Macaca mulatta: one gene and its partner. The protein of the gene in region 1 interacts with the protein of each later gene in a pairwise test. Links are inferred from orthologs where the notes say so. Each region holds a gene or a part of one and is shown in the gene's direction. Other genes may lie near its edges.

Region 1 (3,562 bases):
GAAAGACTAAGAACCCTTGCCAGGCCCCCTCCTCAACCCAGGCCCGGGTAGGATCTCTAAAGCAAGCAAGTTATGGCTAAATGAGCCCCTCTCCCTTATGGGAACAGCCCTGGTCCATACAGCCCTGGCCTCATGCGTAGATGATACCTGAGCTGCTTCTTTAGAAAGAAGCAGCCAATCCATCAGTGTCCTCCTGCTAAGAATTCTAAGCTCCCTGGTTAGATTTGACGTGACTCTTCTTTGGGGAAAAGGTAGAAAGGAAGGGAGCTGAGCAAAGGTCCTTGAGCTCCCTCTAGGGGCCAACAAGTTTTATAAACAAAAATAGAGAGATTTTTGGAATTCACCTGAGGGCTTTCCTAAAACTCTTTAAACTCTAGCATGAGGTTTGGTGAACGATGGCCCATGAACCAAGTCCAGCATACCACCTGATTTTGAATGGCCTGTGACATAAGAATAGTTTTTACATTTTTACTTTTTATTTTTTTCGAGACAGAGTCTCTGCCACCCAGTCTGGAGGGTAGCGGCACAATCTTGGCTCACTGCAACCTCTGCCTCCTGGGTTCAAGTGAGTCTCGTGCCTCAGCCTCCTGAGTAGCTGGGGTTACAGGCACATGCCACCACACCCAGCTAATTTTTGTATTTTTGGTAGAGACGATTTTGGGCCTCCCAAAGTGCTGGGATTACATGTGTGAGCCATTGTGCTCAGCCAGTTTTTACATTTTTAAAATGTTGGAAAAAAAGAAGACTATTTTGTGACACAGGAAAATTTCATTAAAGTTCACATTTCAGTGTCATGAGTGAAGTTTTATTGAAACACAGCCATGTTTGGTAATTTACGTGCTGTCGGTGGCATTTTTGTGCAGGAGCGGTACAGTTGAATGTTTTGTCTGAGACCTCGTGTTATGAATCTACATGATTTATAACTGTTGCTATTGAGCTTGGCTACCTGGCTGAGGTAGTGTTTGTCAGGTTTGTCCACCAAAGAATTTCTCTTTTTTCCTCCTTTCCCTGCTGTCCTTTCTGAAATGAAGTCACTATGAGCAGCCTACACTGAGGAGAGAAGAAGTGCGCTCCCCTATCCTTTTGTTTTTGAAGTTAACATGTTACCTTCTGTGGTTTTCTGAGGGTTTTTGCCATGAGTAACATTAGGAACAACATCAAAAGAAAAGGGTAAAATTAAAACATTATGTCCCTAATGGATTTACTGATGTGGTCCCTGGACAGTGTTGGCCTCTCACTAAACTAGCTTAAGAACCAGGTGCATTCAGTTCTTCTGTTTCTGGTGCCTATTAAGTGCCCATAAAAAATTTTAAGCCCCAGCTGGGCCTGATGGCTCACACCTGTAATCCCAGCACCTTGGGAGGCTGAGGTAGGCAGATTGTTGTGTAAGCCCAGGAGTTTGCGACCAGCCTGGGCAACATGGCAAAACCCTGTCTCTACAAAAAAAATACAAAAATTAGCCAGGTGTGATGGTGCACGCCTGTAGTCCCAGCTACCTGGGGGGGGGGGTGCTGAGGTGGAAGGATTGCTTGAACCCAGGGGTTGAGGCTGCAGTGAGCCATGATCATATCACTGCACTCTAGCCTGGGCAACAGAATGAGACCCTGTCTCAAAAAAAAAAAAAAAAAAAAAAAATAGACTCATTTAAGATTAGAAAGTTAGATTTTCCTTCCCCTTTTTTCACCCTGTACATATTCTGATAGGAAGACCAGCAAGCAGTAGAAATAAACCAGTAAAACCACAGGGAAGCAGAAGTGGGAGAAGCTTCCAAGAGCATCCAGGAGCATCCAAGAGGGCAGTCAGATTTAAAACACAGCTACGTGCTCCCTGATTTTATTCTCCGTTTCAGTCTTATAAAAGTCTAACTGTAGTACTGAGCTTGAATTTTATCTTATAGCAACTGTCAGAAATCCAGAAGTCCAATATGCAGATCAAGTCCAACATAGGCACATTAAAAGATGCACACGAGTTTAAAGAAGACCGTTCTCCATATCCCCAGGATTTCCATAATGTCATGCAGCTTCTTGATAGTCAGGTACGTGCAAGTGGGTGGCAGCTGCAGTGGATGCCTTTCTTTTTCTTAGCGAAGTAATTTACCGTGAGTGCCATCTGCAGAAAAAGTGTGTGTCTTTTTCAGTAACCATGAAGGTGACTAGCTCTTATTTTTCTCCTGCAACATGCCTAAGTCATAAGAGGTGTTTGTTACACGCTTGCTGTTGGCAAATAGCATACACAACAGTTGGCAAAACTGTTTTGTTTCTTCTCTCCATAAAATCAATTTGAATTGGTTAGTATAACCTAGCTATTCATTTTTCATCTTTCAGATGTAGCTTTCAATTTCAAAAGGCGTAGAAGGGCACATTGAAGCACCAGATTTAGTTTTAGAGTTTAAATATACTGCTAATTGTATTTTTAGTAGAAATGGAGTTTCACCATATTGGCCAGGCTGGTTTCCTGACCTCAGGTGATCCACCCACCTTGGCTTAATTAGCTGGACGTGGTTGCAGATGCCTGTAATCCCAGCTACTTGGAGGGCTGAGGCAGGAGAATTGCTTGAACCCAGGAGGCAGAGGTTGCAGTGAGCTGAGATCACAGCATTGCACTCCAGCCTGGGCAACAAGAGTGACACTCAGTCTCAAACAAAATATATATATATATATATATATATGTGTGTGTGTGTGTGTGTGTGTGTGTATATACGTGTGTATGTATATATATACGTGTGTATATGTGTATGTGTATATATACGTGTGTGTATATATATACACACACGCACACACATACACGTATATATACATACACACGTATATATACACACACATATATATGTATACACACACACATACACACACACACACAGCTAACTGGCCAAGATCTCTTACATTTATGAGACAATCACTTTTATTTGGAAGTGAACTTCTGTAATCAGCACAGTCTTTATCATGGCTATTTTGGTCACAGCGGTTTAGGGGAACAATTTTTTTTAAACTAGGAAGAAAATAGAGATGAGAGCTTATGAATTCAGGATTTTTTTAAAAAGCCTGGGTCATTCTAAAAAAGGTAAGTGAACTTTGGAAATCAGGATCACTGCTTCTTGCTTCAGTGCTCACGTCTTTCCTCCCCTACCCAAATCTACCTGCTCCACTGCAGTCAGGCTGACCATGTCCCTGTCCTGTCTGAAGTCCTTCAGTGACCCTTATTCTGGACTTCCCACCAGCTTGCAGGGTCCTTTGGGTTCTGATCCCTGGGACATCTTTCTCTGTTCTTTGCTTTCCTGGCACTCCAGCGGCCCAGCAGCCCATGCCTCTGAGAACATGGCCTTCTGTCTTCTTCCTCAGCTCTGGCTGCCTTCCTGCCTGTCCTGCAGCTCCCAGTTTTCGGGACCTGTCTTTTACTCATTCTTTAGTATTCAGCCAGGGGGGGAGGTACCACTTTCAGAAAGTTCTCCTGAGCCTCTAGGCTATAGCATTTTTGTAGTCCCTAAGTGGGACCTGATCACATACACATTGTATGTGGATTCTCCATGGCTGTGTCTACTCGCCTCCCATCCAGAGCAGGGCCT
Region 2 (4,149 bases), on another chromosome or scaffold:
GGCTTCGTTTAAATATACGACAACTACTTTTATTATGTTGAAAGGAAAAGGTCTGGAGTTCCAGGGAGGGGATTACAGATTTCGGTCTATTGCCGCAAAGGGAGGCAGACTGTTCAGATTAATAATTATTAATGGCCGCTGTATGGAAAGCACTGCACAAAAAAAACTAAGATGACCAGTCCTTATCCTTAAGAAATTCAAAATCTAGACGGAATCTCCAAGAAAGAGATTCCAGTAAGAGTACATGGCAAGCTTCCATATCTACACACCACTGACCAATGAATTTGTACTCTTCTCATTGGAGTAGTCGAGGGCCTTTGGCTCAAGGAGGGGTGAAAATTAGCAGGATACTAAATTGGGAATGAGAACTCTCTTTTTAGAGGGCGTGGACTTGCAGAACTCTTTGAAGCAGTAGATGCTATACTGCTCAAACCCCACACGAGAGTAGCTCTCTGGAGTTGCGGAGTCCGAACCTCCCAAGAACTACAAATTTATTCCGCAACTATCAATTACGCGGTTGGGGGCCAGTGAGGCGCCAAGACCCGCCCAGGTGTCCAGTACCTCGCAACGATTGGACGAGCTCAACTCCTCGCCTCCCCCAGGGCTCCCTCGCCCATCAATCACACTGCTTGCTCGCCACCCGACCTTTGCTGCGCCCCCTTTCAGTGGCATAACACCTGGCGCTCTTTCGCGCCCCAGCCCTCCGGCGCCCCACCAATCGCTTCAGTTCCTCACTGGCCAGCAGAGAGGAGAGCGAAGGGAAGGGGCGCTCAATTTTGCTCTCTGAACGCACCCTCTCAAATTTCCCGGTCTTCTCGCAGACGGCCCGGAGAGCAATGACAGCCTGGAGCAGTCGCGCATGAGCGCAAAAGTGCCAGCTGGCGGAGGGGCGCTTCCCCTCCCTCCCAAGAGATTTGCCACATTTGTTGTGACGCAGGGGCACCCCGCTCGCCTTCTTCACTTACGATTGGCTGTGGCCAAAGCCCGTCACACAGCCCGCCCCACTCCTCTGCCTCAAGAGGCCGCACCTCACGCCGTCGCTGCCGCTTAGCCGTGCGATTGGCTAACAAGACTGGCATGCTTTCCCGCCCCCTCCCCCGCCGCCGCACCGAGAGGCGGGCGGGACCCCGCGGAAGTTGTCAGTCAAACTCCTCCCTCCCCACCCCTCGCGAGGCCCCTCCCCGGGCCGCGCGCCCTAGCGCGCGCACACGCGCACACACTCCCCGCTCGTCTGTACCAACCACCTTCTCAAGTTGTAGCGGTCGCTCGCCGGGGGTTCTCCGTGGGCGGCCGACGGGCGCGTGGGGGAGGGGGTTCGGGCCGCCCAGCGCGGCAAGGAGGAGTGTGTGCACGCACCGGGCCGGGGCTACGGGGCAGCGCCCCGGGTGATGAGGGGCCGGCGCTGACCGGGAAGAGTGGGCACAGCGGCAGTGGCTCCGAGGGGACCCGCGATGGCAGCGCCCCGGGAGGAGGCTCCAGGCAGGGCGGGCTACGCCGGCAGCGGCCACTGAGGTGCTGGCCGACCGGCTGGCTGGCGACCGGGGCAGAAGCAACGAGAGGCGCGCTTGGCGCCAGCACCCCGGTGCCCTCGCCTCAGTTGTCTAAACTTCGGGCTCTCTTCCACCCGCCCTGCGCGCCCGGAGTCAACAACTTCTTCACCCCCCTCCGCCCCCGCCCTTCCCTCCGTCAGCCCCGGGAGCTCGCCGCGCGCCGGGGACCAGGAACCTCCGGCGCTGAGATGTGGCCGTGAGGCGTTGGCGGGCGGCGAGGAGAAGCTCGGCGGCGTCCCGGGGCCGGAGGGCCGTGGGGCCGGGGCGCAGGGGCGCGAGCACCCCGCGCCTCTCCCCCGCCTCCTCCTGCCGTCTCCGCCGCTGCCCGTGCCTTGCAAGCAGCAGCCGGAGCTGCCAAGCGCCAGGGCCGCGGAGATGTCGTCGTCGTCGCCGCCGGCGGGGGCTGCCAGCGCCGCCATCTCGGCCTCGGAGAAAGTGGACGGCTTCACCCGGAAATCGGTCCGCAAGGCGCAGAGGCAGAAGCGCTCCCAGGGCTCGTCGCAGTTTCGCAGCCAGGGCAGCCAGGCAGAGCTGCACCCGCTGCCCCAGCTCAAAGGTAACCTCCGAGGGCGCAGCCCCGGGAGCGAGCGCAGGGGCTGGCAACGCTTGCCTCTGCGCAAGCAGAGCCATTTCCTTCTGGGCTTCTCTCAGCTGGGACTCCTAGTGTGTGAGCCGAGTTCCCCACGATGCCTTGGCGTCCCCTCACCCCCTCCTCCTTATTCAAACAGGTTTTCTGTGAAGTCTTGGCTCTTTCCTTCTAATTCTCCACCTGAACTCTTTCCATCCTAGGGGAGGCCAACACCCCTCCCCACCTGCGCGCTTGCTTAACCTGCACTTCCTATTTTGCGTCCCGCGAGGTAGAGCCCTTCACTCTTCTTCCAGGTTTGCCCTTTCCCGGTCTTGCTTTAACAACCGCACGAACCTTCCCCGACCTTCACTTTCCCGAGTGTCAGCTCCTCTGTTCAGCCACTTTTAGCTAGTCCTTTACTTTTACAGTTATAAAGCCGTGTGCACCCACCCTCTTCTCAACTCCACTTCCCATTGATTGCCCCTAAGAGTCATCAAACCAGGAATCCGAATGCAAACATCGGCGAAGAGTTAGCTGGCCTTTGGATGTATTTATAAAGAAAAAGCCTAAAAATTTGACCAGTGTAGTATCTTATTCACTGGATCGTTAGGTTTAAATGGTATCCTGTAGCTCAAAGAACAGAAATATTTAAAATATTCTGTTGTCTGAGATGATACACACGGTCTATTTGGAAATATAAAGAAGTAGGTAGTGTTGCTTTGCAATCGAATGGGAACTTAGTTTGCCAGGCAGTGATTCCAGGGACTTTGTAGGTTTGTACAGGAATTCAAATTGGTATCCGTGCCTAATGCCTTGCAGGAGAACTTGGCACTCTTTTTGGCTCACTTTTCCTACTAGGTTTAGAGGATTTTCGATGTTATTTCCTGGTGTTCTAGTTTATTCTTTGTGTATTACTCAGTATGTTTAATAATGTCCTTGCATTTTATGAGATAGAAATGATGGAACAAGATGATAATGCTCCTACATTTTTAAATAAAATTTGCAACCTGACGGAGATCCATATCATCAGATGTTCAGATTTTTCAATTCATTTGAAAAAGCTACAGCATCTCCTTCAAGGCCAGTCTGGTTCTCATTTGTCTTTGGGCCTGTGAATCCAGCCTTAGTTTGGCAAGGAGTCTAAAGAAAACCCAGATCAAATCACAGCTGACCTACAACAGCTCCAGAACCCTATTGAGACCCTACCTTGCCCTGACTCTTGGAGTGGTTCTAAATCATGACATCTCACCGTTAGAATCAAACTGGCTTTTGAAAAGAGGTTTAGAGATATGATTAGTCTGTGTTATCGAATTTATCATTTGATTGCTCTTTAGCATACAAAAATTGTTAAAATTTACATAGCAAAATGGTAGACTGTAATGATAGGCATTGCCAAGACTTTAATTCTTGAATGATGTCATAGCTATAAAAGAATATCGTCTTTGCTATTCATAGATTTTAAATTTTACACTTATTTAAAATATCATAGTTTTTTTACACTACTGATTTTTTTTCCTCATTAAATTGTCAAACTATGTAGTTTAAAGGTTTCGTGCTAGGGTTATTTCATAGTTATTTAATTTGCTTTTTAGTAAGATATTCTAGTTTCTTAGTATTGTACTTCTTAATAGTATACTTTAATAAAAATAATTGAATATTAAACGTTTGGTTGTTTTCAGGCCAGGAGATGCAGCTTTGATACGTTTTGCTTTTTTTTTTTTATTTTTATTTTTTAAATTTAATTTAATTTAATTTAATTTTTTTGAGACGGAGTTTCACTCTTGTTGCCTGGGCTGGAGTGCAATGGCACGATCTCGGCTCATTGCAACCTGCGCCTCCCGGATTCAAACAATTCTCCTGCCTCAGCCTCCGAACTAATCCCAACTAGCTGGGATTACAGGCATGGGCCACCACGACCCGCTAATTTTGTATTCTTAGTAGAGATGAGGTTTCACCATGTTGGTCAGGCTGGTCTCCAACTTCTGACCTCAGGTGATTGGGCCACCTCAGCCTTCCAAAGTGTTGGGATTA

The links. The genes of interacting proteins can lie anywhere in the genome.
Region 2: the proteins of DZIP1 (region 1) and PPP2R5A interact in binary tests that used the Homo sapiens proteins (3 or more experiments, as listed by UniProt). The link is inferred for Macaca mulatta from reciprocal best matches to the Homo sapiens genes DZIP1 and PPP2R5A.

Annotation. Positions count from the first base shown.
Region 1 is NC_133422.1:90,364,499-90,368,060, reverse strand, and holds part of DZIP1 (cilium assembly protein DZIP1), read left to right. Parts: intron 1-1,897; coding exon 1,898-2,035; intron 2,036-3,562. UniProt on the Homo sapiens protein: Molecular adapter that recruits protein complexes required for cilium assembly and function to the cilium basal body.
Region 2 is NC_133406.1:70,022,267-70,026,415, forward strand, and holds the start of PPP2R5A (serine/threonine-protein phosphatase 2A 56 kDa regulatory subunit alpha isoform), read left to right. Parts: upstream 1-1,349; 5' UTR 1,350-1,925; coding exon 1,926-2,106; intron 2,107-4,149. UniProt on the Homo sapiens protein: The B regulatory subunit might modulate substrate selectivity and catalytic activity, and might also direct the localization of the catalytic enzyme to a particular subcellular compartment.